Lonchura striata: one gene and its partners. The protein of the gene in region 3 purifies or fractionates together with the protein of the main gene of each other region. This does not show direct contact. Links are inferred from orthologs where the notes say so. Each region holds a gene or a part of one and is shown on either strand. Other genes may lie near its edges.

What was found.
Region 1: the proteins of CIAO2B (region 3) and MMS19 purify together in Homo sapiens (affinity purification with western blotting; 11 studies listed by BioGRID and IntAct, counting the BioPlex papers as one, with this or other methods). This does not show direct contact. The link is inferred for Lonchura striata from reciprocal best matches to the Homo sapiens genes CIAO2B and MMS19.
Region 2: the proteins of CIAO2B (region 3) and ERCC2 purify together in Homo sapiens (affinity purification with western blotting; 3 studies listed by BioGRID and IntAct, with this or other methods). This does not show direct contact. The link is inferred for Lonchura striata from reciprocal best matches to the Homo sapiens genes CIAO2B and ERCC2.

What each region holds. Positions count from the first base shown.
Region 1 is NC_134609.1:18,893,808-18,903,627, reverse strand, and holds the start of MMS19 (MMS19 nucleotide excision repair protein homolog), read right to left. Parts: upstream 4,024-9,820; 5' UTR 4,003-4,023; coding exon 3,888-4,002; intron 351-3,887; coding exon 302-350; intron 1-301. Other genes in the region: UBTD1 (ubiquitin domain-containing protein 1), read left to right, coding at 4,183-4,252, 7,976-8,203, 8,431-8,816. UniProt on the Homo sapiens protein: Key component of the cytosolic iron-sulfur protein assembly (CIA) complex, a multiprotein complex that mediates the incorporation of iron-sulfur cluster into apoproteins specifically involved in DNA metabolism and genomic integrity.
Region 2 is NC_134633.1:6,042,788-6,052,767, forward strand, and holds the start of ERCC2 (general transcription and DNA repair factor IIH helicase subunit XPD), read right to left. Parts: upstream 4,585-9,980; 5' UTR 4,579-4,584; coding exon 4,574-4,578; intron 2,555-4,573; coding exon 2,455-2,554; intron 2,175-2,454; coding exon 2,097-2,174; intron 642-2,096; coding exon 579-641; intron 490-578; coding exon 376-489; intron 1-375. UniProt on the Homo sapiens protein: ATP-dependent 5'-3' DNA helicase. Component of the general transcription and DNA repair factor IIH (TFIIH) core complex, not absolutely essential for minimal transcription in vitro.
Region 3 is NC_134615.1:4,216,748-4,226,813, reverse strand, and holds CIAO2B (cytosolic iron-sulfur assembly component 2B), read left to right. Parts: upstream 1-5,357; 5' UTR 5,358-5,403; coding exon 5,404-5,538; intron 5,539-5,616; coding exon 5,617-5,694; intron 5,695-6,494; coding exon 6,495-6,620; intron 6,621-7,080; coding exon 7,081-7,126; intron 7,127-7,585; coding exon 7,586-7,683; 3' UTR 7,684-7,805; downstream 7,806-10,066. Other genes in the region: CES2 (cocaine esterase), read right to left, coding at 1,465-1,566, 1,823-1,976, 2,424-2,557, 2,821-2,959, 3,282-3,486, 4,013-4,091.

The DNA of each region.
Region 1 (9,820 bases), on a different chromosome or scaffold from region 3:
GCCCCAACTGAAAAGTGCCCTGCAGCATGCTGCCTGCCACAGCATCTCTCCTCTGTCCTGGGAGAGCATCAAGAGCTGCTCCAGCCTTGCTCTTTCCCAGAGAGCTCCCACATCTAGGGAGGGCAAAGCACTGCTTAAGCCCCACGCTGTGAGCAGACAACATCCTGCCTGCTGCAACGTGTCATCCAGTGCTGAAGCTCATCCTGGATGAGCACACTTGTCCTTCTCACTATGCCTCCTTGTGGGAATGTCCCCTGCAAGGCCCTTACCCAATGTATAACTTGCATAAGGCTTTTCTTACCCCAGGGCTTCCACAAGCTGCAGCACTGTCCACCTTCCATCTTTCACCCCTGGAGAAAGGAGGTAAAGAGAGTGAACCAGAGATCATGTTACTGGAGATGGATGCTGGGACATATCCCTGCACTGCACTGAGAATGGTCAGTCAGTGCTGACTCCTCACTAAAGTGCCAAAGCAGCCATGTGCACTTAACTGCTGGAGCTGCCTCCAGCCCTGCCTGCAAACACCTCTGAGACTGAGAGCTGAGAGGAGATGGCCAGGGGAGAAACGGCCTGCACTTTGCCTCACCCTCTCCCTGAAGCATGGCTGTATGTGTGGCTCCTAAGAGAAGTCTTGCTGAGTTCCACCTCTCTGAGATACTAAAACCCCCTTCTCTAATGTAAGCATGCTGAGAGGAGACAGAGGGCAGCTCTCCAGGTGCTTCCTGAGGGAGAACTGGCTGAACAAGCAGCCCAGACACTAGTGATCACTCAGCTTCCCACCTTGGCTCCAGCACCTCCACACTGTGCAAAACTGCGCTAACCTCTTCCAAGATGGGCAGGGAGAAAGGCAGTTTTGTGGTCAGAGGAAGATAAAATGCTGGGATTCCTGGTGTCTATTTCCAACTCTGACTCAGATTCCTTGCCAGGTTGCCTCATTCACCTACTACCTCCATATTCTTGCAACTCAACTGGGGGAAGAGTCACTCCTCAGGAGGCTTTGCTAAGGACTTGCTGCACTGTACAAGAACCTTGGCAGAACGGCAGGTTCTCCACTCCTGCCACCCATTGCCACTGTGGCACCTCCCCAGAAGGAAAGCTCTGTGTACATCCTCTGCTCAGACATAGGGTGGCAGGCAAGGAACTGCCTTACTTTCAGACCCCTAACCTGCAGCTCAGGTGTCAAGTGACATTGCTGGAAAACAAGCAGCACCCCTCACTTTCTGCCTGGACAAAACAGCATTCCTCCAGAAAAAAACCCAAATCACCTGGCAGTCACTAAGACTCACTGTCTTTGCCCAGGGATACTTTTGGGCACTCTGGAGGGACCTGCTCACCTCTCTGCCCTGCTGAACCTGCACAACTGACAGGGAACTTACCCTCTCAGAAGGTTTCATTATGGGCTTTCCCAGGCCTTGTTCCTGCTAGTGTCTCCTGCTGTTGCAAGCCTTTACTGTCTCTTCCTAAGCAGTTAATTCCACCATTAAGACACACTGTTCATCATAGGGCTGTCTCTAGGGACAAGATGACAGCGTTTTCTGACAGTGTGTTCTGACAGCAGGCAGTCTTGACTCCAGAGACAGAGCTTTCAATTCTGCCTGGAGCAGCAGGGAAAAGGAGCCTGAGCTGAGAAACAGAACAGATAAGGGGAGCTGTGTGGATAAAGAACCCAGCAGGTCTCAGAATTGACGGGCACAGACTGAAAAGGGGGCACCCTCAGAGACAGCCATGACATGCTGGCAAAATTTCCTGCAGAAAAACAACAGTGAAACAGCAAGGAAATGCTTTGCACAAGCCAAAGCAGAGTGGGCTGCAGAGAGAGCTTAGATGGCTCCTCCACATCCAGCATCCCAACATCTTGCTCTGCAAGCTCATGAAGAGCCCTTGTGCCTCTGCACCATCAGAGAAAAAATCTGACACAAATGCCATCTCTGTGGCCAGGTGCTCTGCCTCTCTGTGTCTGCAGAGACTGAAAGCAGCTCTACACAAAGCTTCTGGCTCCCTACTCAACAGAAAGAGCTACCGTGTGATGGCCAAACCACAGTCAGGTACTGATACACCCCGAGGTCAGCAGCTCCTTTGCTCAGCAAGGGAGCTCCCTCTGTTCTCAGGGACCAGGTGTGACCAGCTTTGCCTCACATGGTGTGGCCACCCCTCCCTGACACAGCCTGTGAGTGTGCTGTGCTCGTGCACAGGCCACAGCGTGAGCACAGCTAATTGGACCTGCCTCATCAGCACGGCAGGCACAGTGGTGAGCCCCTGAAACTGCTACCTCCACATCTGGCAGCAGCACATATGCCCCAAGGTTAATTAGGCACCCTGAATCCCTTTACCAAGAGGGGCTGACTTGCTATTCTGGCATTCCTGTAGCTCCCAGAGACTTAACAGAAACAAGCCATTCACCCTGTGCTGGATTGCTACTCTGAACCAACCTGCTCTCTCTCCTGAAAGGTCTCTCCCCCTTTCAGTGTCCTTCTAGGTATTAGTTGCTTCTGGAGGACTTCCATTCTTGTTTCTCCCATACCTTCAAAATGTAAGCACAACATTCACAGGGAATGTGTAATGGATTCTGTAGCAGCAGTATCCTTCTCTCCCCATTTTTTAAGAAAGATGAAATCAGCCTCTTCCTGCCAGCCAGTGACCCATGCAGCCCAACCTGCATGTGACAGCACCAAGGCTTTTCTGCCACTTGCCAAGTTACGCTCATTTTAGTCCTTAGCAACAAACCGGTGAAGCTCAATGTGTTTGTTACAGCAATTGCACAATGGCCATGAGCTTAGGAAAGACCTCCCTATCCTTTTGCTCAAGGATACACAAAGCAATTTAATCCTTTCTGATGTGTGGTTCTGTACAAGGTCAGAAGGGCTCAAGGACACTTGCCAGCCCCACTGTTTGTGAAGGTGGCTTTGTCAAAAGAGCCACATGGCTGAAAAAAGCTGGGAGAAGCAAGTGGGGAGGAATTCTCTTTGTATGTCTTCCAAGAGACAAAGCTTTCTCCAGGCACTTCTGTAACATGACATCAGGTGATAACAACAGTTGTAAGGTTATCCTTCCCCACGTATATCCCAAATATGTTGGAGACTGTGTAACTCTTCTGCAACATGTTGAATATCATGTAGTTTAATGAATTTCTACAAATTTCCTTGGCAATTTCTTCACTCTGTGTTACATGGGCCACTGGGTTACCTTTCTGTTTTGCCAGCTCATCTCATCACCAAGACACCACATAGCAGTTCACAAACCACCATGCCTTGGGAAAGACCTAGAAGCCACCCGTGTGTGTAATGTAACATACACAGACAGCCCTTCTCGGCTCTCAGAGCTCCTTCCCAAAACATGCTGAAGCCACTGCCTACACACACAAAAATATCACCTTATCCTTAGAAAGTCACAGTCCTGAAGCTGTAACTTCCCTAATGCAACAAAGTCACCCAACTGCTGTTCGAAGGAGGAGGATAAATTATCCGACCAAAGCAAACGCCTCAAGTCCTGCTAGGAAAGGGGGAGAAACCACAGTGAGGGTAGTCTGCAACTGCCACCTCCTACGGTCCCTCAGCAAGGCCATGAGCTATCGTCCCACAGTCATTTCTCTGCCAGCCACACCTGCCTCGCTCCTGGAGCCCCTCACCCACCGCACACCTCCTTGGCAGCTCCGAGCTGCAGGCCCTGCCCTACCCAATCCCACGTGCCCTGCCCCGCACGGCAGCCTCACAACCCGCAGACACGCTCCGTCCCGCGTCCCCACACCCTGCCCGGCCAGCCCAGCCCCACGCTCCCTCACAAACCCCTCCCCACACCGCCACGACCCGCCCGTGCCCACGCCCGCCCCAGGCCCTGCCCGGCTCCGCTGCCGTGCCCACGCCCAGTCCCGCCCCGCCCCCGCGCGGTACCTGCCGCCACCTCCGCGGCACGGCCGTCCTGCTGCCCGGACACGAAGTCCCGGACGGAGGCGGCGAGAGCCTGAGCCTCCGCCCCGGCCCCGGGCCCGGGCCCGGCCGCCGCCATGACACCCGCGCGCAGGGCCGCGCCCCGCCCCCCGCCTGCGCGTGCGCGGGGGCGGTGCCGGCGGTCACGTGCGCCCGGGGGCGGGGCGGCCCCGCGCGCACAGCGGGCCCCGCGCGCACGGGCGGGCGCAGCGCGGAGCCGGCGCGGCCCCGATGCCGAGCGCCGCCGGTCGGCCCCGCCATGGGCGGCTGCGTGGGGCGGCAGCGCCGGGAGCGGCCCGCCGCCGGCGGCAACACCCGCAAGCGAGCAGGTGAGCGGGGGTCCTGCGGGCTGGGCGCCCCCGCGATCGCGGGCACTGGGGCGGAGGGGGGTCCGGTGTCCCCCTGGGGGTGGTGCCGGGGGAACGTGGGCACCGGAGAGGTGCAGCTCGCCACGGGACAACTTCTCCCTCGCACAACCCCGGGAGCCGCTCTGTGCCCTCGGGGTTTCGGACCCCGGGGATCCCGGTTCGGTGCGGGGCCTCGGGAGCGGACGGGAACCGCGGCTCCCGTCCCGGCGCCCCGGAGGCTTTGCGGGGTCAGGGCTGGGGTGCGCAGCGGGTCCAGCCGAGCCCTGCCTGTTCCCGGCTCCTCCCGGGAAGTGCCGTCCTGGGAGGACGGCAGGGTGGCGGCTGCCCCGGTCTGGGCTCGGCAGCGTCCCCCGCGCGGCGCGGCGGGTCCTGCCTGCCCGCGGTCCGTGCTGTCCCGTTCTCCCGGCTGCTGCCGGCGGGGGCTTCGGGAGCCGCGGGTGGGGCGGGGAGCGGCCGCGCCGGTCTGGGAGCGCCGGCGGGGCCGGTGCAGCCTCGCGGCCCCCGGAGTTACCGAACACCCGGGTGCCGTGAGGCGCTTCCCCGTGATGCCGTGCCGGAGGGTCCCGGAGGCCGCGGGGATGGGTACGGTGGACTTTCGGCGGAGAAGCCGTGGGCTGGTAGGATGAATCACGCCTTTCCTTTGCCGCCTCCCCGGCCGGTGCCGTCGCAGCCGGTAATTACCGTGTTTATGGCAGAGCGGTAGTGGGCGGCGGAGAGGAGGGGCAGGAAGCGTGTGCCCGGGACGGGACGCCCCGGCCCTCGCCTGCAGCTGGCATGCGGGAGGGAAGGGCGTTTTCCGTGGGACGCTGCCCGCCACTCCGGCAGCACGTGCAGGGTGCCGAGGCTGCTGGGCCGGGCTGTGCCCGTGCCGTGGGCAGCCGCCCCCGCCGCGTGGGGCTCCAGGTGTGCCAGCCTGCCCCGGGGATGCCCTGCTGGGATGTACTGGGGTGATGGCCCCCCCCACCCCGACACGCTTTGTCCCCCAGCAGTGCCTTCTTGCGGGTATGGGTGAGGCCTGGGGCTCCTGGCTGGCTGTTCCCTCAGCTTGGTGGAATGTGGGGCCATTGCCTTGTAGCATCAGGATGTGATGGGGGATGGGGTGAGATCCCAACATCTGGATCTGTGTGATCCCCTCTCGTGCCAGGCAACAGCTGGCTGCAGAGCCTGTGACTCCATCCCCACTTGCTCTCCTGGGATGGGTCGTGGTCCCTCCCTGATATACCGCTGTCAGTCACTGCTGCTGCTTTCTTCCAGTATGTCCCTTCCTGGCAGAGCAAGGCTGTCCCTTGTGCCAGGTGCCCTGGCTGCTTCCTACCTTTGTTTGCATGGTTCCACCAGCCCATGGGAGCTGCTCAGCAAGTGGTGGGGGTGAAGCAAGGCTACAGCTGCTCTTACCAGCAGTATGGGGACAGTGCCCTGGGCCAGCAGGTCCCAGTACACAAGGACCTACCATCAGCAGGGATGGGGGCTCTGCCTGCCCACCTCTGCTGCCTCAAGGACTCTGCTAAGCATCCCACCTCCCTGGCCAGCTCCTGCTCTGGCTGGGGCTTGTTGTGACCCCCTGTGGAGGGGTCCTTTGATGACTCCCAGAAGCAGGTGACAGCATTGTCCCCAGGGTGGCCAGCTTACCACAGCAGGAGCTGGGCATGCCCGTGGCACGCAGCATCCCAACCCTGCCTGACTCGGGAGTGGACCAGCCAGCACTGCTGGAAGCAGTGGTGTGTGCCTTCTGGCTGACATCTTCTCTGGGGCCTCCAGGACCTGTCATCTGAGGCTGCCTAAGGCTCCTGCAGGCAGGGAGCAGGCCCAGGGCAGGGAAGCCTTTGGGTCACATCCTTCTGCCCGGGGGTCCCTCACGAGGGCACTGCAGGGTGCTGAGCCACGGGCAGGGAGCTGCAGGCACAGGGCAGGAGGCAGCAGGCTGCCAGCCAGATCCTGTTGGCTCGAGTCCGGGCACAGAGAGCGGATGGACCTGTCTGGTGGTGCTGCTGTGGAGAGTTGCACAAGGGGCTAGGAATAGAGCAGCAGGAGGTGATTAGAAGGTGCAGGCCCAGCTGGGCGGTAGCAATAAATAGACTAGGCTTAAGCCCCTGCCTACCTGGGCAAGGCTGCTGGTTATGTCTGTACACACGAGGCAGCCACAGCCGGTCCCTGCCACAGCCGACCCCCACAGCTCCTTTCCTGGGCCAGCCTTTGTTGCAAGCAGAGCTGGGGGAATGGTGCTGACTGGCAGTGCTGGCCAGGAGTCCTGGCTGTGGGAACGTGTGCCCCAGCCTGGTGGCCATAGCAGTGTAGGGACATGATCCCAGACATGTCCTTCAGGCTGGCTGTGGACACTTCTCCGCTGCCCTCCTGGGGCAGGTGTTGCCTCTGACCTTGCCATGTCCTGTGGTGCTGCAAATCCCTCTGGCCCAGCACCGTGACTGCTGAATCGGCAGCACTGGCTGCAGTCGGCTGCCCTTGCTCCTCCAGGGTGTGGGCAGGATGGATGCTGCCTGCCAGGGATTCTTGGTGCCCAGCCCTGGGGTAGCTGAGCACCTGTGCCCCTTGGGCACACCCTGAGGTGGGTGCTTGCTGGGAAGCAGATGCTGTGCTGGCTCTAGTGGTCCTGGGTCGGGTGAGGCAGGGTCGGTACAATCAAAAAGGTCACGTAGCGCTCTGTGTCACCGCACACTTGCTCAGGAGCAGCTGCCTGGGCACCTTGGCTCAGCCCACAGCTGGCAGTGGTGGCTGTCTCCGGTGCCTGGGGTGTGTGGCATCACCTTGTCTGGCAGGTCGCTGTGTGGGCACAGGCATCTTTGTGCCCAGCTGGAGCCTCACTTTCCCCTCATCCTGTCCCCACAGGAGGGGTGCTGCCGGGCCAGCTCAGGGAGGGGGGTGACAGGAAGGAGCTGTTATCATTCATTGTCCCCAGCTCAGCTGGGAGTGACAACTCCTTCCTGCCCCACGTGTCCGGCCTGGCTGTGGGACTGATGAGATGGGGCTGTTCCCACAGGGCCACAGCCCAGCGTAGTGAGGGCATGATGCTCTGGGACTGGCACTGGGGTGCCTCAAGCCCCTGGGCAATGCTGGCTGCTGAAGGTCTGTGGGGATGTGGCTAGGAGCTGTTTCATGGAGAGCCAGTTCAGTTCAGCTCGTTGCTGGGGCACCTGCAGTCTGTCAGTGATGCCCTCTGTTCCCCTGATGCCTGGGATGCTGTCTTGCCTGCAGCTGGTCCCTGTCATCCCAGGGTGGGCAGAGGGGACAGTGAAGTCCTGACCCCCCTTTGCTGCAGCTCAGCCTTTGTAATCCCCTTCTCGCTCCGACTCACCAGCTTATTTCCTGGCTAATTCCCCAAGCTATAAATACTGCTCTGCCTCAAAGGGCCCTGAGGCCCTGTGGCCACCCTAGGGGGCAGTGGCTGGTCCCACAAATAAGGAAGCAAGAGCCCTTGTCCCCTCTGGGGGCAAAGGGTGTCACTTGGGGGAACAACTGCTGTGGGGCCAGTGGGATCTTGGGCCAGGCTTGCTTTAGCCCCGTTACCCCTGGCTACACTGGGGGCTGTTGTTCACTGGACAGGGTGATCCCTCAGACCCTTGCTGGGGTGCGGGAGATTCCCAGGAAGAACCTGTGGTTATGGGGAGGTGGGAGGTTCAGGACCTGAGGGAAAACCCTGTCCTTTGGCTGAATATCCCCCCTCTGCAGGGCGCAATGAGCCCCTGAAGAAGGAGTGTCCCAAGTGGAAGAGTGACTACCCCATGACAGACGGGCAGCTGCGCAGCAAGCGGGACGAGTTCTGGGACACGGCACCAGCCTTTGAAGGCCGCAAGGAGATCTGGGATGCCCTGAAGGCAGCTGCCTATGCTGTAGAAGCCAATGACCACAGCCTGGCCCAGGCCATCCTCGATGGAGCCAGCATCACCCTGCCCCATGGTGAGGGTCAGCACTGGGGGTTTGCATGGGATGTGTGCTGAGTGCCCCGTATCTGGGCACATGGGGGTCTCAGGCTGGAGTAGAAAGGGGCTCCCACCTGCTATCCAGAGCTCAGTCCAGCCAGGGGGAGTAAGGCAGGCTGTGCCATACTGCTTGAGGTGGCCCTGTCCCCATTTGAGTGGTCCATGGGGATGCCCACCCTTAGCATCTTATCCTGCTGTCCCCAGGGTCCCTGACGGAGTGCTATGATGAGCTGGGCAACCGGTACCAGCTGCCCGTCTACTGCCTTGCACCCCCCGTCAACCTGATCCTGGAGCGGAGCGAGGAGGAGGCGGTGGAGCCGGCGGAGCCTCTGCCCAATGCCCGGCGGGAGTTCACCCTCAAGGTGCGCCTCTCCACCGGCAAGGACCTGCGGCTCAGCGCCAGCATGAGTGACACCATCGGGCAGCTGAAGAAGCAGCTGCAGGCGCAGGAGGGCATTGACCTGGCCTGGCAGCGATGGTTCTTCTCAGGCAAGCTGCTCACTGACCGCACGCGACTGCAGGAGACCAAGATCCAGAAGGATTTTGTTGTGCAAGTGATTGTCAACCAGCCCCTTCCACCCAGGAACTGAGCCACCCCCTACTGGTTGAGGGGAGAGGGCAGGGGGCTGAGGACAGTGGCACCTCTGGGGATTCCCTGTGTTGTGTTCTGGCCCATCTGGAGCTGCACCTTCTCCCCCCTGAGGCTGCCACACAGGTGACCCCCCAGGAAAGTCTGCATGGGGCTGTGCCACCGTGGTGGCTCCCCTTGGCTGGGGACACGGGCAGGCGCCGTGTTTGCTGAAGGAGGTTTGAGACCAAATGTCTCTGGGGCTGGGGCTCCTCTGCCAGGCAGTGCCGGCAGCGAGAGGCTGTGACCCACTGGGCTCTGGCTTCCCCCTGGCCAGGAGACTCGTGGGGTGCTGGGCTGGGTGGAGATGTCTCCCCTCTGTACATAGTCTATATTTATCAATAAAGCCTTTTCATCCTTCCTCTGGCCTTGGAGACAGGCTGGAGGGGGCTGGCCCACAGCCACAGGAGGTCCCTGTGCCTGTTCTGTATCTGCTCCCATGTCAGAATGGGCACAGGGTGGTCAAGGATACCCTGGACACCCTGTCTCTGCTCCCTAGTGCTACCCTGACCCTGTCCTGCCAGAGCTGTTTGCTTGCCAGGATCCTTCCCCTGCATTGTCCCATTGTCATCCCAGCTGCTTCTTAGTGTGGGGTCACCACCTCTGTTTCATGGTGCCTCCCCTCTGGAGCTATATGCTTGTGTCTGCCCTTGTGCTAGCTGGGACTGTCCATGGAGGGGAACAGTCCCAAGAGTACCTTCATGGCCACCATGGCCTGCCCTGGTGAAAACAGTGTCTTTCTGCTGTGGGAGGCTGTCACACCCGTGGGCCAAGGCACCCAAGGATGGCCCTGGGAAGTGCCCAGGAGGGTAACAGTGACGTGTAGCTGTCCGTCCCTCCCCCAGATTTTGTGCTGGTGGATGGTGCCCAGAGCATTAACTGTCCCAGCACAAGGCAGTGTTGGCCTCATCTTATAAGGGGGGAGTTCTCAGGAGGGTTGAACAATGTTCCTGCTGCCGGGAATAG
Region 2 (9,980 bases), on a different chromosome or scaffold from region 3:
AGGCAGAGCCCCAGATCCCTTTGGATCCCCCCGGATCCCTTTGGATCCCCCCGGATCCCCCCGGATCCCTTTGGATCCCCCGGGATCCCACCTGGGGGTGCAGGCAGAGCCCCAGATCCCTTTGGATCCCATCAGATCCCCCAGATCCCTTTGGATCCCATCAGATCCCATAGGATCCCACCTGGGGGTGCAGGCAGAGCCCCGGGTCCCCCCCCAGATCCCCCCGGATCCCTTTGGATCCCCCCAGATCCCATGGGATCCCCCGGGATCCCACCTGGGGGTGCAGGCAGAGCCCCAGATCCCTTTGGATCCCCCCGGATCCCCCCAGATCCCTTTGGATCCCCCCAGATCCCATGGGATCTCCCGGGATCCCACCTGGGGGTGCAGGCAGAGGTTCTTGCGGGAGCTGAGCGCCAGCGCCAGGAGGGGGAGGGGCTGGCCCAGCTCCCTCTCGTAGCCTTCCAGAAGCTTCCGCAGCTCCTCCACCACCTGCCGGGAGCCCCGGGATCCTCAGGGATCCACCGGGATCCGCCGGGATCCGCCGGGACCCCCCGGACCCCCCGGACCCCCCCCCCGACCTTCTGGATCTCGGGCACGGTGCGGGAGCAGTAGATCAGCTTGGAGACCTCCAGCGGGTGGGCCTGGGGGGGAGGAGGGATCTGATGGGATCCAGTGGGATCCAGCGGGATCCAACCCGGGATCCAGCCCGGGATCCAGCCCGGGCGTTGGGGAGACCCCAGGATCCACCAGGATCTCCCCGGAGCCATCCGGAGCCTCTGGGATCCACCAGGAGCCTCCCAGATCCCCCCCGATCGTCTCGGATCCCCCCCAAAATCAGCCCAGATCCCCCCAGAATCCTTCAGACCTGGCAAAACCCCTCCAGATCCCCCCCAAACTCACCCAGATCCCCCCCAACCCCCCCAGATCCCCCCAAAACCCCCCAGATCCCTCCAGATCCTTCCAGATCCCCCCAAAACTCTCCAGATCCCCCCAAATCCCCCCCAGATCCCCCTGAAACCCCCCCAGATCCCTCCGAGATCCCCCAGGATCCCTCAGACCCCCCCCAAACCCCCCCAGATCCCCCCAAAACTCTCCAGATCCCCCCAAATCCCCCCCAGATCCCCCTGAAACCCCCCCAGATCCCTCCGAGATCCCCCAGGATCCCTCAGACCCCCCCCCAAACCCCTCCAGATCGTCTCCGATCCCCCCCAGATCCCCCCCAAAATCAGCCCAGATCCCCCCAGAATCCTTCAGACCTGCCAAAACCCCTCCAGATCCCCCCCAAACCCACCCAGATCCCCCCCAAACCCCCCCAGATCCCCCAGGATCCCTCAGACTCCCCCAAACCCCACACCCAGATCCCCCCAAACCCCCCCAGATCCCCCCCAAATCCCCCCCAGATCCCCCCAGACTCCCCAAAATCCCTCCGAGATCCCCCAGGATCCCTCAGACCCCCCCCAACCCCACACCCAGATCCCCCCAAATCTCCCCCAGATCCCCCCAAATCCCCCCCAGATCCCCCCAAAACCCCTCCAGATCCCCCCAGACTCCCCAAAATCCCTCCGAGATCCCCCAGGATCCCTCAGACCCCCCCCCAAACCCCTCCAGATCCCCCCAGATCCCCCCCGATCGTCTCAGATCCCCCCCAGATCCCCCCCAAAATCAGCCCAGATCCCCCCAGAATCCTTCAGACCTGCCAAAACCCCTCCAGATCCCCCCAGATCCCTCCAGATCCCCCCAAAACTCACCCAAACCTCTCCAGATCCCCCCAAATCCCCCCCAGATCCCCCCGAAACCCCCCCAGATCCCCCCAAAACCCCCCCAAATCCCCCAAAACCCCTCCAGATCCCCCCAAATCCCCCAAAACCCCTCCAGATCCCCCCAAATCCCCCAAAACCCCTCCAGATCCCCCCAGATCCCCCCAAAACCCCTCCAGATCCCTCCAGATCCCCCCAAAACTCACCCAAACCTCTCCAGATCCCCCCAAAACCCCTCCAGATCCCCCCCAAAACCCCTCCAGATCCCCCCAAATCCCCCAAATCCCCTCCAGATCCCCCAGATCCCCCCGGATCCGGCGGGATCCGGCGGATCCGCACCCGCTGGTAGGCGACGATGAGGGCGAGCAGCGCGATCGTTTTCCCGGTGCCCGACGGCATCTCCAGCACCCCGTGGCCCTGGGGGGGGAGGGGAGGGGCGCTCAGGGGGGGCGGATCCCGCCCGATCCCCCGGGTCCGGGTGGATCCCGCGGGTGGATCCCCCCCGCAGATCCCGAGGCCAAAACAGCCCCAAAATCTCCTTTTTCCCCCCCAATTTCCCGGATCCTTTCCCGGGATTCGGCAGCCCGGGCCCCCAAATCCCAGCCGGGGGTGGATCCCCGGGGTGGATCCCCGGGGTGGATCCCCGGGGCGGATCCCCGGGGTGGATCCCCTCGGTGAATCCCGGGGTGGATCCCACCTTGGCGTCCAGCGTGCGCTTCAGCTCCAGCATGTAGGAGAACTGCTCGGGGTAGATGAACTCGTAGGGGAACAGCACCAGGAGCCCGTCCACGTTCAGCCTGCGGGATCCCGGGGGATCCGGTGGATTCCAGGGGTGGATCCCGAGGGATTTGGGGGGTTTAGGGGAGATTTAGGGGATTTTGGAGGGGATTTGGGAAGGATTGGGGGGGATTTGGGAGGATTTTGGGAGGATTTTGGGGTTTGGAACAGCACCAGGAGCCCGTCCTCGTTCAGCCTGGGGGATCCCGGGGGATCCAGTGGGTTCCAGGGGTGGATCCCGAGGGATTTCGGAGGATTTGGGGGTTTTTGAGGGGATTTTTGAGGGGATTTTGGGGAATTTTGGGGTTTGGAGCAGCACCAGGAGCCTGTCCACGTTCAGCCTGCGGGATCCAGCGGGATCCGGTGGATTCCAGGAGTGGATCCCGAGGGATTTTGGGGGGTTTAGGGGAGATTTAGGGGATTTGGGGGGTTTTTGAAAGGGTTTTTGAGGGGATTTTGAGAGGATTTGGGGGATTTGGGGGTTTGGAGCAACACCAGGAGCCCGTCCACGTTCAGCCTGGGGGATCCCGGGGGATCCAGTGGATTCCAGGGGTGGATCCCGAGGGATTTTGGGGGGTTTAGGGGAGATTTAGGGGATTTTGGAGGGGATTTGGGGGGATTTGGGAAGGATTGGGGGGGATTTTGGGGAATTTTGGGGTTTGGAACAGCACCAGGAACCCGTTCACGTTCAGCCTGGGGGATCCCGGGGGATCCAGTGGGTTCCAGGGGTGGATCCCGAGGGATTTTGGGGGGTTTAGGGGAGATTTAGGGGATTTCGGGGGGGATTTGGGGGGATTTGGGAAGGATTGGGGGGGATTTTGGGAGGATTTTGGGGTTTGGAGCAGCACCAGGAACCCGTCCATGTTCAGCCTGCGGGATCCAGTGGGTTCCAGGAGTGGATCCTGAGGGATTTTGGGGGATTTGGGGCATTTTGGGGGGTTTTGAAAGGGTTTTTGAGGGGATTTTGGGAGGATTTTGGGGAATTTTGGGGTTTGGAACAGCACCAGGAGCCCGTCCTCGTTCAGCCTGGGGGATCCCAGGGGATCCAGTGGGTTCCAGGGGTGGATCCCGAGGGATTTTGGGGTGATTTTGGAGGGAATTTGGGGGATTTTGGGGGACCTGGGGAGTTCCGGAGCCTTTGAACAGCCTCAGATCCTCGGGGGGGGGGCAGGGGTGGCTCGAAAGTCCCAAAATTCCCTCAGATCCCCCCAAAAATCCCCAACCCCCCTCAAATTCTCCAAAATCACCCCAAAATTCCTCCCCAAACCCCAAAAATCCATCAAAATTCACCAAAATCCCCCCCAAATTCCCCCAAAATCCCAAAATTTCCCCAAAAATCCCTCAAAATTCACCAAAATCCCCTCAAATCTCTCCCAAAACCCCAAATTCCCCCCAAATCCCTTCAAATCCTCCAAAATCCCCTCAAATCCCCGCCAAAAAAACCAAGATTCCACCCAAATCCCCTCAAATTCTCCCCAAACCCCCCAAATCCCAAAAAGGTCCCAACATTCCTCCAAAAGTCCCCCGAAAATTCCCACAAAAAGCCCCAAAATACTCCCCAAACCCCTCAAACTCCCCCAGAACCCCCCAAAATTCCCTCGAATTTCCCAAATTCCCCCAAAATTCTGCCCAACCCTCCCAAATCCTCCCAAATTCACCAAAATTCCCTCAAATCCCCAAAATTCCCCCAAAACTCCCCCAAATCCTTCCAAATTCCCCTCAAATTTCCCAAATCCCCCAAAATCTCCCCAAAATTCCCCCCCAAATTCCCCCCAAACCCCATCGAATTCCCTCAAAGTCTCCCCCAAACCGCCCCAAAATTTCCCAAAATCCCGAAAATTCCCCCCCAATTTCCCAAAAAAATCCCCCCGAAATTCACCCCAAAACTCCCAAAATTTCACCCCAAACCCCCAAAATCTCCCTCAGATCGCCCCAAATCCCTTCGGATTCCCCCCAAAAAATCCAAAACTCCCCAAAAATCCCCAAAATTCCCCAAAATTCCCCAAAATCCCCCAAATTCCCCCAAAATCCCCCCTCACTTCATGGCTCGCGCCGCTGCCTCGCGCCGCCGCCGAGGCCCCGCCCCCCGCCGGCCCCGCGCATTCCCATTGGTCAGCGCTGATCCCGCCTCGCTCTCCCATTGGCTGCCGCAGCTGCCACTCACGGGGGGGGGGGAGAGCGCTGCCGGGGAGGAGCAATCGAGCGCCGAGCGATGGATCGGGGGAGGCTGGTGGGGGCAGAGAGGAAAAATTTGGGGATTTTGGGGGTTTTTTGGGGATTTTTGGGGAATTTTGGGGAATTTTCGGGTCTTTGGGGACATTGGGGGAAGCGCGATTAAAATTTTGGATTTTTGGAGACATTGTCGGGGTGGGGGATGAGAAGAAATTTGCGGATTTTGGGGTTTTTTTGGAGATTTTTTGGGATTTTTGGGGAATTTTCGGGGATTTTTGGGGGCATTTGGAGACATCGGGGGAGGGGCGACAAAAAAATTTGGGGAATTTTGGTGATTTTTTGGATTTTTAAAAAAATTTTTGAGGACTTTGGGGAGAACGGCCAAAAATTTTGGGGATTTTTGGGGTTTTTTGGATTTTTTTGGGTTTTTGGGGATTTTTTGGGGGTTTTTTTTGGGATTTTTGGGGGAGGGGCGACCAAAATTTGGGGGATTTTTTTTGGATTTGCGGCTGTGACGTCACCGAGGGCGGGGTGAGAGAGGGGCGTGGCCTCCCACACCTATCCGTTAATGAAACTCATTTGCATAAATCTGCATAAATTAATTTTATTTGCATTTCACGCTTTTATTGCCAAAAAAGCTCCCGCGAGAATTCACCCGAAGCGCCGGCAAAAAACCAGCCGGGATTTGGGGAGAAAATCCCAAATTTGGGGAAAAACACAAATAATATTTAAGTCCCAAATTTGGGCGGAAAGGCACAAATCGGAGGGAAAAAAAAATCCCAAATTTGGGGAAAAAAATCCCAAATTTGGGGGAAAAAAATCTCAAATTTGGGGAAAAAACACAAATAAAAGTCCCAAATTTGAGGGGAAAACACAAAGCGGAGCGGAAAATCCCAAATTTGGGGGAAAAACCCAAATTGAAGGAGAAAAAAATCCCAAATTTGGGGAAAAAAACCACAAAAGTCCCAAATTGGAGGAGAAAAACCCAAATTGAAGGAGAAAAAAATCCCAAATTTGGGGAAAAAAAACCAAGTAAAAATCCCAAATTTGGGGGAAAAGGCGCAAATTGGTGGAGGAAAATCCCAAATTTGGGGGAAAAAAATCCCAAATTCGGGTTAAAGGCACAAATTGGATCGGAAAAATCCCAAATTTCATTTTTTTCCTGATTAAAAAATCCCCCAGCTCGGTGTCCCCTGCCCCGAATTCTTTTTGGGGGGAAAAAACCCAATTTTGGGGAAAAATACCCCAATTTTAGGGAATACAAAAACCTCGATTTTGAGGAAAAATACCTCAATTTTGGGGGAAAAAAAGCCTCAATTTTGGGGTAAAAAAACCTCAATTTTGAGGAAAAATACCTCAATTTTGGGGGAAAAAAAGCCTCAATTTTGGGGTAAAAAACCCTCAATTTTGGGGTAAAAAACCCAAATTTTGGGGGAAAACCCCAATTCTGGGGAAGAAAAAAAAACTGATTTTGGGGAAGAACAAAAATGGCCAATTTTGGGGCCAAAATCCCAATTTTGGGGTTTGTGGCCAGAGGGAATTTGGGGGAAATGAAGAATTTTGGAATTTCTGGGAAGCCCTGGGGCCAAAATCCACAAATTGAAGCGATTTTGGGACGTTTGGGGGGATTTGGGGTTTTTGGGGAGGATTTGGGGTTTTTTTTTGGGTGGATTTTGGGGTTTTTTGAAGATTTAGGGTTTTTTAGGAAGGATTTGGGGTTTTTTTTGGGAAGTTGCTCCTAAAATTCCCCTCAGGGATTTTAATTTTTTTTTTTTTTTTTTAAACAAAATTTTTTGGGGGGAAATGGGAATAAAAATCCAAGAAAATGGGAAAAAAAATCCAGAAAGTGGGAATAAAACCCCCCAAATATTGGGAATCAAACCCCAGAAAATTGGGAATAAAACCCCAGAAAATTGGGAATAAAAATCCAGAAATCGGGAATAAAACCCCAGAAATTGGGAATAAACCCCCAGAAATTGGGAATAAAACCCCAGAAATTTGGAATAAAAATCCAGAAATTGGGAATAAAACCCCAGAAATTTGGAATAAAAATCCAGAAATTGGGAATAAAAATCCAGAAATTGGGAATAAAACTACAGATATTGGGAATAAAACCCCAGAAATTAGGAATAAAAATCCAGAAATTGGGAATAAAACTACAGATATTGGGAATAAAACCCCAGAAATTTGGAATAAAACCCCAGAAATTTGGAATAAAAATCCAGAAATTGGGAATAAAACCCCAGAAATTTTGGGAATAAAACCCAAAAAATTTGGACTAAAAATCCAGAAATTGGGAATAAAACCCCAAAATTGGGAATAAAACCCCAGAAATTTGGAATAAAAATCCAGAAATTGGGAATAAAAATCCAGAAATTTGGAATAAAAATCCAGAAATTTTGACTAAAACCCAAAAAATTTGGACTAAAACCCCAAAATTTGGAATAAAACCCCAGAAAATTTGGGAATAAAACCCCAGAAATTTGGAATAAAAATCCAGAAATTGGGAATAAAACCCCAGAAATTTTGGGAATAAAACCCAAAAAATTTGGACTAAAAATCCAGAAATTTGGAATAAAAATCCAGAAATTTGGTATAAAAATCCAGAAATTGGGAATAAAACTACAGAAATTGGGAATAAAACCCCAGAAATTGGGAATAAAAATCCAGAAATTTTGGGAATAAAACCCAAAAAATTGGGAATAAAAATCCAGAAAATGGGAATAAAACCCCAAAATTGGGAATAAAACCCCAGAAATTTGGAATAAAAATCCAGAAATTGGGAATAAAAATCCAGAAATTTGGAATAAAAATCCAGAAATTTTGACTAAAACCCAAAAAATTTGGACTAAAACCCCAAAATTGGGAATAAAACCCCAAAATTGGGAATAAAACCCCAAAATTGGGAATAAAACCCCAGAAAATTTGGGAATAAAACCCCAAAACTTGGGAATACAAATCCGGCCCCGGCTGGGATTTGGGGGCCTGGGCTCCCGAATCCCGGGAAAGGATCCGGGAATTTGGGGGGAAAAAAGGAGATTTTGGGGCTGCTTTGGCCTCGGGATCTGCTGGGGGGATCCACCCGGGGGTTCCCACGGGATCCGCACGGGATCCAGCCTCGGTTCCGGGGGGAATTCCCAGGGGATCCCCTCGATTCCGGCTGGATCCCCCCTCGATTCCGGCTGGATCCCCCCTCGATTCCGGCTGGATCCCCCTCGATTCCCAGGGGATCCCCTCGATTCCGGCTGGATCCCCCCTCGATTCCCAGGGGATCCTCTCAATTCCGGCTGGATCCCCCTCGATTCCCAGGGGATCCCCTCGATTCCGGCTGGATCCCCCTCGATTCCCAGGGGATCCCCTCGATTCCGGCTGGATCCCCCTCGATTCCCAGGGGATCCCCTCGATTCCGGCTGGATCCCCCCTCGATTCCGGCTGGATCCTCCCTTGATTCCGGCTGGATCCCCCTCGATTCCCAGGGGATCATCTCAATTCCCAGGGGATCCCCTCGATTCTGGCTGGATCCCCCCTCGATTCCAGCTGGATCCCCCCTTTTTTCCCCAGGGGATCCCCCTCGATTCCGACTGGATCCCCCCTCGATTCCGGCTGGATCCCCCTAGATTCCGGCTGGATCCTCCTCGATTCCCAGGGGATCCCCCCTCGATTCCGGCTGGATCCCCCTCGATTCCAGCTGGATCCCCCCCTTTTTTCCCCAGGGGATCCCCTCTATTCCCGCTCAATCCCGAGGGATCCCCCGGGGTCGATCCCAGCTGGATCCCCACTCACACACACAGATCCCCGCTCCTGGTGCCGGTCCCGGCGGATTCCAGGGGGATCCCGGTGGATCCGGCCAGATCCCCACTCACAAGGATCCCCGATCTCGCCACCCGTCCCGCCAGATCCCGGCTGATCCCGGCGGGATCCCAGCAGGATCCCCCCTCGCAGGGCCCCCAGTTCTTGTTGCCAGTCCCGGTGGATCCCGGTGGATCCCAGTGGATCCGCTCTCGCCGTTGCTCCCATCAGATTCCAGCAGATCCCAGCCAATTCCCGCTGATTCCAAGGGGATCCCCGCAGATCCAGCAGGATCCCCTCTCGCAGGGACCCCAGTTCTTGTTGCCAGTGGATCCCGGCAGATCCCGGTGGATCCAGCGGGATCCCCTCTCGCAGGGACCCCAGTTCTTGTTGCCAGTCCCGGTGGATCCCGGTGGATCCCAGTGGATCCGCTCTCGCCGTCGCTCCCATCAGATCCTGGCAGATCCCAGCCCATTCCCGCTGATTCCAAGGGGATCCCAGTGGATCCGGCAGGATCCCCACTGCCAGGGACCCCAGTTCTTGTTGCCAGTGGATCCCGGTGGATCCCCGGGACCGGCTCTCGCCCATTGGATCCTGGCAGATCCCGGCCAATTCCTGCTGATTCCAAGGGGATCCCGGAAGATCCAGTGGGATCCCCTCTCGCAGGGACCCCAGTTCTTGTTGCCAGTGGATCCCAGCGGATCCAGCAGGATCCCCTCTCGCAGGGACCCCAGTTCTTGTTGCCGGTGGATCCCGGTGGATCCCGGTGGATCCCGGTGGATCCCCGGGACGGGCTCTCAGCGGGGCGGGCGGCCCAGCCTGCGGAAGACGCCACCGGAGCTGCTGCTGGACACGGCGCCGTCCTGCGCCGCCGGCCCGGCGCCCTCGCGGCGCCGCTTCAGCACGCCGGCGTACGGCAGCGCCTCGGGATCCGCCGGATCCCCCGGCCGATCCCCCGGCGGATCCCCCGGCGAGTCCCCCGGTGCCGCGCCCAGGCGGCTGAACACCCCCGAGGGCTGCGGGGACGCGGGTGCAGGGTGGATCCCGGATCCCCCAGTGGGTGCAGGGTGGATCCCGGATCCCCCAGTGGGTGCAGGGTGGATCCCGGATCCCCCAGTCGGTCCAGGGTGGATCCCGGATCCCCCAGTGGGTCCCAGATCCCGCCCTGGGTCCCTGAGCCTGATCCCGCTCTGGATCCCAACTCCTGATCCTGCCCCAGATCCCAAATCCCACCCAGGATCCCGCCTGGCTGATCCCCAAGTGGATCCCAGATCCCGCCCTGGATTCCAGATCCTGCCCCAGATCCCACATGGCCCATCCCTGAGTGGATCCCAGATCCCGCCCTGGATCCCTGAGCCTGATTCCACCCTGGGTCCTGACTCCTGATCCTGCCCCGGATCCCAAATCCCGCCCAGGATCCCCCCATGCCGATCCCCAAGTGGATCCCAGATCCCGCCCTGGATTCCAGATCCCCCAGGATCCCTC
Region 3 (10,066 bases):
TTTTAAGAGGATGCCAGTGAGTCAAGAAACCTACTTCAGCTAAGAAAAAGACAAAAGTAGAGTGAACAAAGAAAAAGTTAGGAGGTTTGTAGTAGCGCCCCCTTGCCCTAGAAAAAAAAGAGAAGAGAAGAAGATCTCTGTTCTTGAGCCCTCAGCCCCAAGGGAAAATGGGGGGGACTCTGGTCCCAAAAAAATGAAAAACTAAACTATTGTTTTCTCCCCTCTTGGCAGGGCATCCTTAAAAGGAAAAATCCTAAAGGCAGTGACCATCCATACATTAATAGTAAGAGCACTGTGCATGGAAAGGAGAAAGGTCACCATGGCAAACTTTTTCTCCAGGCAGTGCCATGTGTAACATAAAAACACAAGATATAAAGCTGTGTTTCTTGAGAGGTCTGTAGCACAGGAAAAACTCTATTCCCTTAATAGACTGAATATCAATTGCTTAAAAGGTAGAAACCTGATTGGGGTCCAGATTGTGTCTCACTGTAGTTTGTTGGAGTTAAGTGGTGGGGGGAGGAATGTTTTGCAAAGTTTTCATTTAGATCTTTGTGTAGTTTTTTTTCCCTTCTTTAGTTTTCTCTTTTCTTTTGTAATAGTAGTTTAATAAAGTTTTTTTTCCTATTATCAAATTTAAGCCTACTTTATTGTATTCTAAATTCCACTTTACAGCATTCAAAGTAAAAATCACATTTTCATAAAAACACTGGCATTGTGCCAGTGTCAAACCATATCAATCACAAAGTGAAATCATTCCGGTGTACTTCTCTTTCTTGTTGTATTTCCATTCACTGTCTTTTCAAACTTTTCTGTAGAGATAATACAAGCTTGTAGAATAAACCAGATAAGGAAAGAAAACTCAGAAACATTTACATTATTACTATCTGGCATGACAGGAAAAGATATTAAAAGGAACTTATAGAAAGTGATTTTATTTTAAGTTTGGGTTTTGTTTTTTGGTTTGTTTGTTGGGTTTTTTTTATATTTAATTAATTTACTTCACATAAAGGCCCTCCTTAAAGGGCTGTAGATTAATAAAAAACTGAATTCTTCTTCTTGTTAAGCTTTCCATAATAAATGCCACCGTTACTGTGTAGAGTACAGTGGATATAAAAATGAACATTTGCCTAGCTTGGCATTTGTGTGACTGAAAATGCCTTTGTCAGCCCACAACTGTTAGAATCATACAGTTGTCCAATCTATTTCTAACACCAACCAGACCAAAATTAAACAGGTGTGCTGCAACAATGAACTGGATCAACTTTCTTGCACAATATACAATGACATTTTCCCCTTTTCTTTTTTAAACAAATTATCACATAGAAGTATCCCCTAGATATCCTTATATATCCTTTATACTTCAGTATCCTTTAGATATCCTGGATAGATATTTAGTATTCCTCTACCCATAGGAAAAGCCTATTTTAGGCTATAAAGACTTTAAATGCAAAACAATGAGCTTACCTCAAGATCTGTTGAAAGATGTAAATTTTTGCTGGGGGGAATTAGAATTCCACTCTCTGATATTGCTTTATGAAAGAGACCCTTAGATAAAGGAGATAACACCTGCCAAGAAGGGAAGAACAAAAAGTATTTATTCTACATTAACATCCTTACCTTACAACTTAATGCTAGCTATAGTCTATTAACTCATGGATTCAGTTGGGAATTATACATCTTGGGATTTATACATCTTTATTTCCTATATCTCCAGATTTAGCCCAATGCGCTGTTAAATTTATGGTCAAAAACCAGATTAAACATGAAATGTTACATTAATTAAGCTTTCAAAGACTTTTATTTTTATCTACTATATACCTACATGTGCAAAAACAGAGCAAGCTCCTGCAGATATCCCGAAGAGAGTGACAGATGCTGGGTCTCCACCGAAGTGCTCGATATTTCCTCGGACCCACCAAAGAGCAGCGACCTGATCCAGGTACGCCCAGTTCCCGCGGGCGTGCTCGTCACCAGTGCTGACAGGAAAGCAGCAGAGCCACTCCTCAGCAGCAGTGACAGTGACAGTGGCACAGCAGAGGCCACCCCAGCAATCTGTGTTTGCTGCAAAGGGACCTCCAGCCCCCCACGCTCACACCTCAGCCCCTGCCCACCCCGGCTCAGGCAGACCCCTGGCCTGTGCTCCACCCGAGGCTTTGCTTTACACAGCAGAGCATGGAAGCAAAGGCCAGAACAAACATCCTGCCCAGCATCAAATAAGCAGGCTGCAATCACATGGCCATGCAGGTGGAATGCACAGACATTTCTTGGTGTTCTGAAGTCCTGATGTCAGTGAATTTTGTACATTTAAACCACTCTAACAGTGGGAAGCTGATATAAAAGTTCAGCACATTTAGCAAACAGAACTACCCGTGCTTTAAACGTGACAGCAAGTACTTTGTAAAAAGTGAAATAAGTGTTCTTACTTAAAGTACCCAAGGAGTCCCAGTCTGTACTGAATTAATACCACCACAACATTCTCGTAGGCTGACAGTGCAGAGCCATCATACCGAGCAGCACCACCAAATATAAAATTGCCTCCATGGATCCACACCATTACCTTGGAAACAATAGGGTGAGACACACCTTAACGCGCTGGTTTGCAGATTTCACTTGAAAAAGGAAAACAACGTCAGATAATTAGGAACACCAAATCACTGAAGCACGATGGCTGCTGAATTTCAGACTGGTGATCTTGGAATTTTACATGCTAATATTATTTCTGCTTGTGCAGCATCACATTTTCAAAGCAATTAACTCTCTTAAGAGCAATCATTACTTGCAAGCTTTATAAATCACAAGTTTGTTCAATGGTTTACATACAGGTAACTTGTCCTTCTTGCTTGAGCCAGCGGGGCTGTAAACACTGAGATACAAACAGTCCTCAGAAGTTTGGAATGCAAGGTGCTTTTCTTTAAAGTTTTTTTCAGCTATTTTCAACAGGGACAGATCTTGAGGACAGCTTCACCAAGGGAAGAAAAAAAAAAAAACAACACAATTATTTGTACTAAACCTACAATAGCATCAAAGTAACAACAGTAGAGAAAACACATTTCTTTTGGTCCCAGCTGAATCCCCACAGGGTGCTTGAATTTTGTGTTACCTATAATCACTGAGAGGTACAGCCTGTAAAAGCACATCTCCACACCTGTACTAGAAATACTCCAGTACTGGCAGTGTATCCACCACCAAGTACCAACAACTCAGCAGAAGCAGCCTCTGCACCCCAATAAACACAACTCTGCAGCACGGGCAGCTTCTGGCTACAAAAGAACTGCTCTCACAGCGGTGGGTAAGAAGTTGCATCTCTCACACCACTCCAGGGTTCAGGCGGTTCAGGTGGAGAAAACCTCAAGGATCCAAGAGGGGCTTTTGCAAAAGGAATTCCAAGGAAAACATTTACAAGCTTGTCTGTGCCCTTCACGCTTGTCTGTGTTCCTTTGAGCCGTCCAAGTGCAATAGTCACCTCTGGCTCAGCACCACTCTGTCCTAAGTAACACAATAGATAAAAAAATAATGAATTAAATTGCATCTTCATAATTATCTCACAGACTATCCCATTAAGTATTTTTAACTGACTGTTTAATTTAGAACATTTCAGTTTATTCCTTTCAATTTTGTTCAGTTTTCATTTTGCTTTGGTGCAGTGAGAGACACCCCCTGCCAAACCCTCCTGCCATTTATACCTGGAGCCATGTAGGGCAGGATATTGTCACTATACAAGAACAAATTTCAGAGCAAACAGCAAAACCATTGGCATTTGCTAAATCTATCATTCAACAAGATCTTAAAAATATTTTGTTTAGAGAATTCACAAATGTTGCTGCTTTCTACTTTTTAAAAAGGACAGAAAACTTAATTTTCATTTTATCATCTCAAACCCAGTAATTTTTGCATCATGAAGGCATTTTTGCAGATTGGTAACCAAGGCACAAGAGATTTACCGCCTTCGTAAAAACCATCGGGAGCTGGTGCAGCGGTTTCCCCGGCAGCAGCAGCAAGTCGCGGGGCTCACCTTCTGTCCCGCACACGAGGAACAAGGCTGCGCTACAAAACAAGGCGCAAAGCCACGCGATCGGGCTCGCAGGAGACATTTTCAGCCCCGGTGGGGCTCCCGGGGACTCTCTCCTGCGGAACAGGAGGGGACAAAGGTCCCAGCGAGGGCACTCGGGGCACGGAACCTGCAGGGAACGCCCCGAGAGGGGCGAAGGCAAACGGGAGTGCCGGACCCGGGGGCGGCACAGCCCTGACTGATCATCGGCACGGCCCCTGATTGATGATCGGCACAGCCCTGACTGATCATCGGCACGGCCCCTGACTGATCATCGGCACGGCCCCTGACTGATGATCGGCACGGCCCCCCCATCACCCGCACAGCCCCTGATCGATCACCCTCACAGCCCCGATCACCGGCGCGGCCCCGACCGCCGCCCCGCGCTCCCCGGTGCCGGCGGTGCCCAGCGCCGCCCGGCGGGCGCCACGGAGCGGCAATCGCAGCTCATTCACCGGCTGTCCGTGCTGGCGGCGGAGAAAGAGGGCGAGTCTGAACGCACTCCGGAGCTTAAATACTATGAAGTTCTTTAAAACCCTCTTAAAACAACAAAAGTATCACCAAAACACCACGACAAGCAAAACAAAGCAACAAAACCCCTAATCCGCCCTCCGCGCCCCAACAACCGGGAGGAGAGATTGCAAATAACTAAAAAGTAACAATAGAAAAATAAGCAAACCAAATCAAAATAGTTAAGACTTGCTTTAATCCCCTTTTAGAGGGGTGTATGAAGCCAAAGCGTGTCATTACTACACTCTGCCACTTCAGTTTAAATTTGCGTGGGGTTCTTTTGTTTGACTTTTCAAAGCAGAGAACATTTCAACAAGTCGCATGGGAGCATCCTTGGCGGCGCCAGGCCCAGCCCGGAGCTGGGCGGACACTGAAGTGTGTCTGTGTGTGCGTGTGTATGTGTGCATGTGTGTGTGCGTGTGTCTGTGTGTGTGTGCATGTGTGTGTGTCTGTGTGTGCGTATGTGTGCATGTGTGTGTGCGTGTGTCTGTGTGTGTGTGCATGTGTGTGTCTCTGTGTCTGTGTCTGTATGTGTCTGTGTGTCTGTGTGTGTGTGCATGTGTGTGTCTCTGTGTGTCTGTGTCTGTGTGCGCGTGTCTGTGTGTGCGTGTATGTGCGTGTGTGTGCCTCTGTGTCTGTGTGCGTCGGTGTATCTCCAGCGGCGGACACCGCGCCGCCGACTCCATTGGCTTCCAACCCGGCGCTCGGTCCGGTCGGAGCTCCGGGGACGCCCGGCAGCCCCGCCCGGCCCGGGCCGCCCGGCAGCCCCGCCCCGCTGCCGGCCCCGCGGGGCGGAGCCCATCGCGCTCCGGGCCGGTTCCGGTGCGGGCGGTTCCGCTGCCGCCATGGTGGGCCCGGGCGCGCCGCCGCTGGAGAACGCGAACCCGCTCGTCTACCGCCGCTCCGGGGAGCGCCCCGTCACCGCCCGCGAGGAGGACGACGAGCTGCCCGACGCCATCGACGACCGGGAGATCTTCGATATCCTGCGGGAGCGGCGGGCAGGGCCGGGCGGGCGGGCGGGCCGGGGCGGGCAGCGCCGCTTTCCTTAACCCGCACATCTCATCCGCTCCATCAATGACCCCGAGCACCCGCTCACCCTGGAGGAGCTCAACGTCGTCGAGGAAGCGCGAGTGAAAGTGAGATCCCGCCGGGATGTGCTGCCTCAGCCGTCCGATATGATATGATATATGATATATGATATATGATATATGATATATGATATATGATATATGATATATTATATATGATATATGATATATGATATATGATATGATATCATATGATATGATATCATATCATATCATATCATATTACTATATATATACTGTAATATTATAATATAATATATAATATACTATTATATTATAATACCATATATATGCTATAATATTATATTATAAATATTATATTATCATACGATACAATATATATAATATAATATCATATACATACTATAATATATATTAGATATTGTATTATAGTATATTATATATATTATATATTATAATATATATTATATTATATTATATTATATTATATTATATTATATTATATTATATTATATTATATTATATTATATTATATTATATTATATTATATTATATTATATTATATTATTGTGTTGTATTATATTCTATTATTATATAATAAGATATAATATAATATTTGAATATATAATAAATTAACAATATAATATTTAAATATAGAATATTTAAATGTATTTACAATAGTTATAATTCTAATGATCACATTACAATATAATATTTTAATATATTTAATATATTGAACATAGTACTTGTCGATTAATAATTTCTAACATTCAAATAGACTTCTCGTGTTTTATAGTATTGAACTATATTTACGGTAGCACGTAAAGGTAGCACTGACGGTGCCCGAGCGGGGCTCGGGGCTGTGGTGCCAGCCGCTGTGCCCGCAGGTGAACGATGCTGAGAGCACGGTGTCGGTGGAGTTCACGCCCACCATCCCCCACTGCAGCATGGCCACCCTCATCGGCCTCTCCATCAAGGTCAAGCTGCTCCGCTCTCTGCCCGACAGGTTCAAGGTGAGCAGTCAAAGCAAAAGAGGGGGGTTGTGTTTGGAAAAAAAGTTTTAAAAGGTAAAAAAAAAAAAAAGAAAAGCTAAGCAGCTTGCAGTGAAAAATAACTAGAGGTTTTTTCATTTTTGGTGTGAGGGGTGCTGCAGGAAGCAGAGAGGGCAGTGGGTGAAATACCAGCGTGCAGTTCTGGGGGTTGTCACGGGCCAGGGGCAATCACTGCAGGCAGTGCTCTGCAGCACAGCAGGAGGGGAGCTCTCACCCTTGTCTGAAGCAGGTTTAACCGTGTACAAATGCAGAATGCTCTGCAATTGTACACTTCTGTTTTATTCTGTTATATAGAATAATTGATAGTGGCAAGAATGTCCTTTCTCTCTTCTTTTTGTTACTATTTCATTTGTATTAGTTTGAACTTAATGTTCCGATGCTTTGTCAAACTCATCCCGTTTCTTTTGTGCTGCTGTTTCAGCTGGATGTTCATATAACACCAGGAACACATGCCTCTGAGCACGCAGGTAAGACTTTTAGTCCTCTCTCGTGTGGCCTTCATATTTGTTTTAATCTTGAAAATTAGTGAGGAGAGAGATTCCCACAGCTGCAGAGCAGCTGCTCAGTGCCTGGGACTTTCTGTGCGTCAGATTCTGGGGGATGTTCCACAACAGAACATGGAGTGCTGCAGTGTTCTGTGCACATCTCCTCAGGCAGCCTGTGCTCTCAGACATCACTGCTGATTTGCCTGAGCACTGGGAACAGGGGAGGAAACGGGGATTTTTTGTGTCACACCCGTGGAGCAGCTCCTGCTGCTGAATCCCAGGCAGCTCCTGCACAGCTGCTGTGCCAGAGAGGCTCCGTGCTGAGACAGCAGCTGGGTGCCCTGGGCATCCCCAGCCCTGCAGCTGGGATGGTGGGGCTCGGCGTGAGCACAGCGAGTCCCAGTGTCCTGACTGGTTTCTCGTGGGCTTTTTCCTGCACAGTTAATAAACAGCTCGCTGATAAGGAACGTGTGGCAGCTGCTTTGGAAAACTCTCACCTGCTGGAAGTGGTGAATCAGTGTTTGTCTGCTCGGTCATAATTGCCTGGTGAGGAAATCATTGGTGTTCTGATCTACTTAACTAATTTTGTATATATGCGGTGATGTTACAAATTATATAAAACTGTGAGCAAAATAAAATCACTTAAATTCTCTTGAGGAAATGCTTCTTTGCTCTTTTAAAAAATACTGTGTGGGGAGTTAGCTTACAGACAGCTACAAAAATATAATAAAAATGAGCTTTTTAATTGTATTGAGTAATTGCATAGGTACAGTTTTCCATTAACCATTTTTTTCAACCTGTTTTTAACTGGTTTCTCACTATTAAAAATAAGTTATAAACTGCATCTTAGAAGTGGATTTTGCACACTGCATTTCACAAGTACACCAAGATAACTTTTAGGTAAAATCTTTACATTCCTGTGACAGTTTCGGACTGTTAATACAGTTTCACTTTCAGACATCACAAGTTGTACAAGCTGGTGTGTGCAGAGTTGGAGGACATTTAGCAGTACGTGTCCACACTTCCAAATCACGTCTGATTTTAATTATCTTACCTTAGATTAGCCAAATGTGGAGGGCTCTTTAGACCTGTGTAAAACATGATTTATTTTTAATTACTGCTTCATTGTGGTAGGAAATAGAGTATCTTTGAAGAGGTGTTATTTGTGCACCTGCAATACAGGAGTCATTACCAGTTCTCAGTATGAGCAGCCCAGCAGGCTCTGCTGAAAGATTGTCTTGGCAGTGTTTGACAAGTTTTGCTCTAAGTGCTTTGAGATTTAATGCTAAAACTCAACTTATTCTTCTGGTTCCTATTTGGGAACTGCGCCATTCATTAAACTGTTGTCTTTGGTAGACCTTGACAATAGAAAAACTCATTAAAAATTAATCTGAATTTTTGTAAAGGATGTCTCTAGTCCTGGACCACATGGAAAAATAACAACCTGTTGAGAAATCCTGCTGGGTGTTTTGGTACATGCATCCATTGCGATGTTGCCTTCTTTGCCATCAGTTATCTGGAAAATAAGAAATACACTTTCTAAAAATATAGGTTGTGCTCACCAGTTTGATGGCAGTGCTTTGCACTCCAGGAGTATTTTCCCTGGGAGGGTCTCAGATGCTGTTTGAAAAGGGTGAAGCTTATGGACATTGTGTGAAGCTCAGCCTGGCAGTCCAGTTGAGTGCTCCAAGTGTGACGTCCAAAGTCACACAGCAAAGCAGGAGAGGAACAAAGCCAGACCTTCCCAGTCCAGAGCTGAGCTTCCCTGTCTGCACAGGGCTGCAGAAAGCCAACTCTGCAGCAGCCTCAGCCTGCTCGTTTGGCTCAGCAGCCTTTGAATGGGCTGGGATGTATGAATGAAACTGCAAATAAAGACAGTATTTATGTAATATTAATATTGGGCAAGGAACAGAACAACCCAGCTTTGCTCTGCCTCTTATTGAGTCACTGAACTGATTAGTTCTGACATTGCCAGCATTTGCACCACAGATGAAACTCCAGCCATGGTAATGCATGCTGGCAGCTCCCAGGCACCACGCTTGGGTGGTTTGATTTTGTTTTCTGGTTTTTGGTGGCTTTTTACAAAGAAAATAAATTTTGCCCCCAAATTTTGGGGGGAGAAAGAAATGCAAGTATGTGCCAGGGGGAATACAGGAGGATGACTAAGCTGACAACAGATTGCTTCAACCTGCACTCCAAACAGAGAAGGGATCAGTAAATGGTGCTTTGCTGAAGCTCTCTGCTTGGCTTTCATCACTTCATAATACTAGTGCTAAATAATTTATTGGAATGTTGGCACTTGCCTTATGAAACACACTGTGCACAGCAGCCCCGGGGATGCACTTTGGACCATTTGCCTTCTCAGAGAAGCAATAGAATGTGTTTGATGGTTTGCATTTACCGTTAATCATTGAGGGATGATTTTCAAAGCAGAGGTCTGACTTCTGCTGTTTAGGGATGGAGAATCTGATTAGTTTAGATCTGGTGTGTTTAAGTGATGTGGATGTTGTATTTATCATAGAACAAACCACAGTGGCTTTGCTGAAGGCCCAGGCCCTCCTATCCAGGCTCCTTTAGCTCTGTACTTGCTGATAATGTACCACCAGTTCTGGTAGAAACCTTCCATCCTGCTCTTGAAGATCATTAGCTGGTTCCTATTGCATGGAGACAAAGTGGGAGAAGAAAACACTAATTTGTTAGAAATATTTATTTTCAAATGTTTATTAGGCCAAAATGCCACCCCTAAATTTAGTCTCTGGAATGCTTTGTAATAGGACACCTTCCATGAGAAACTATGACCCTTTGGAGCAGCTGTGTTGAATCCAAACAGCCTCATTCAAGTCCAGGAAAAATGCCAGGAGCAGACATCTGCTTTGCATTCCTGAGTTCTGGGCAGAGTCTTCCAGGGCAGCTGGATGGCAT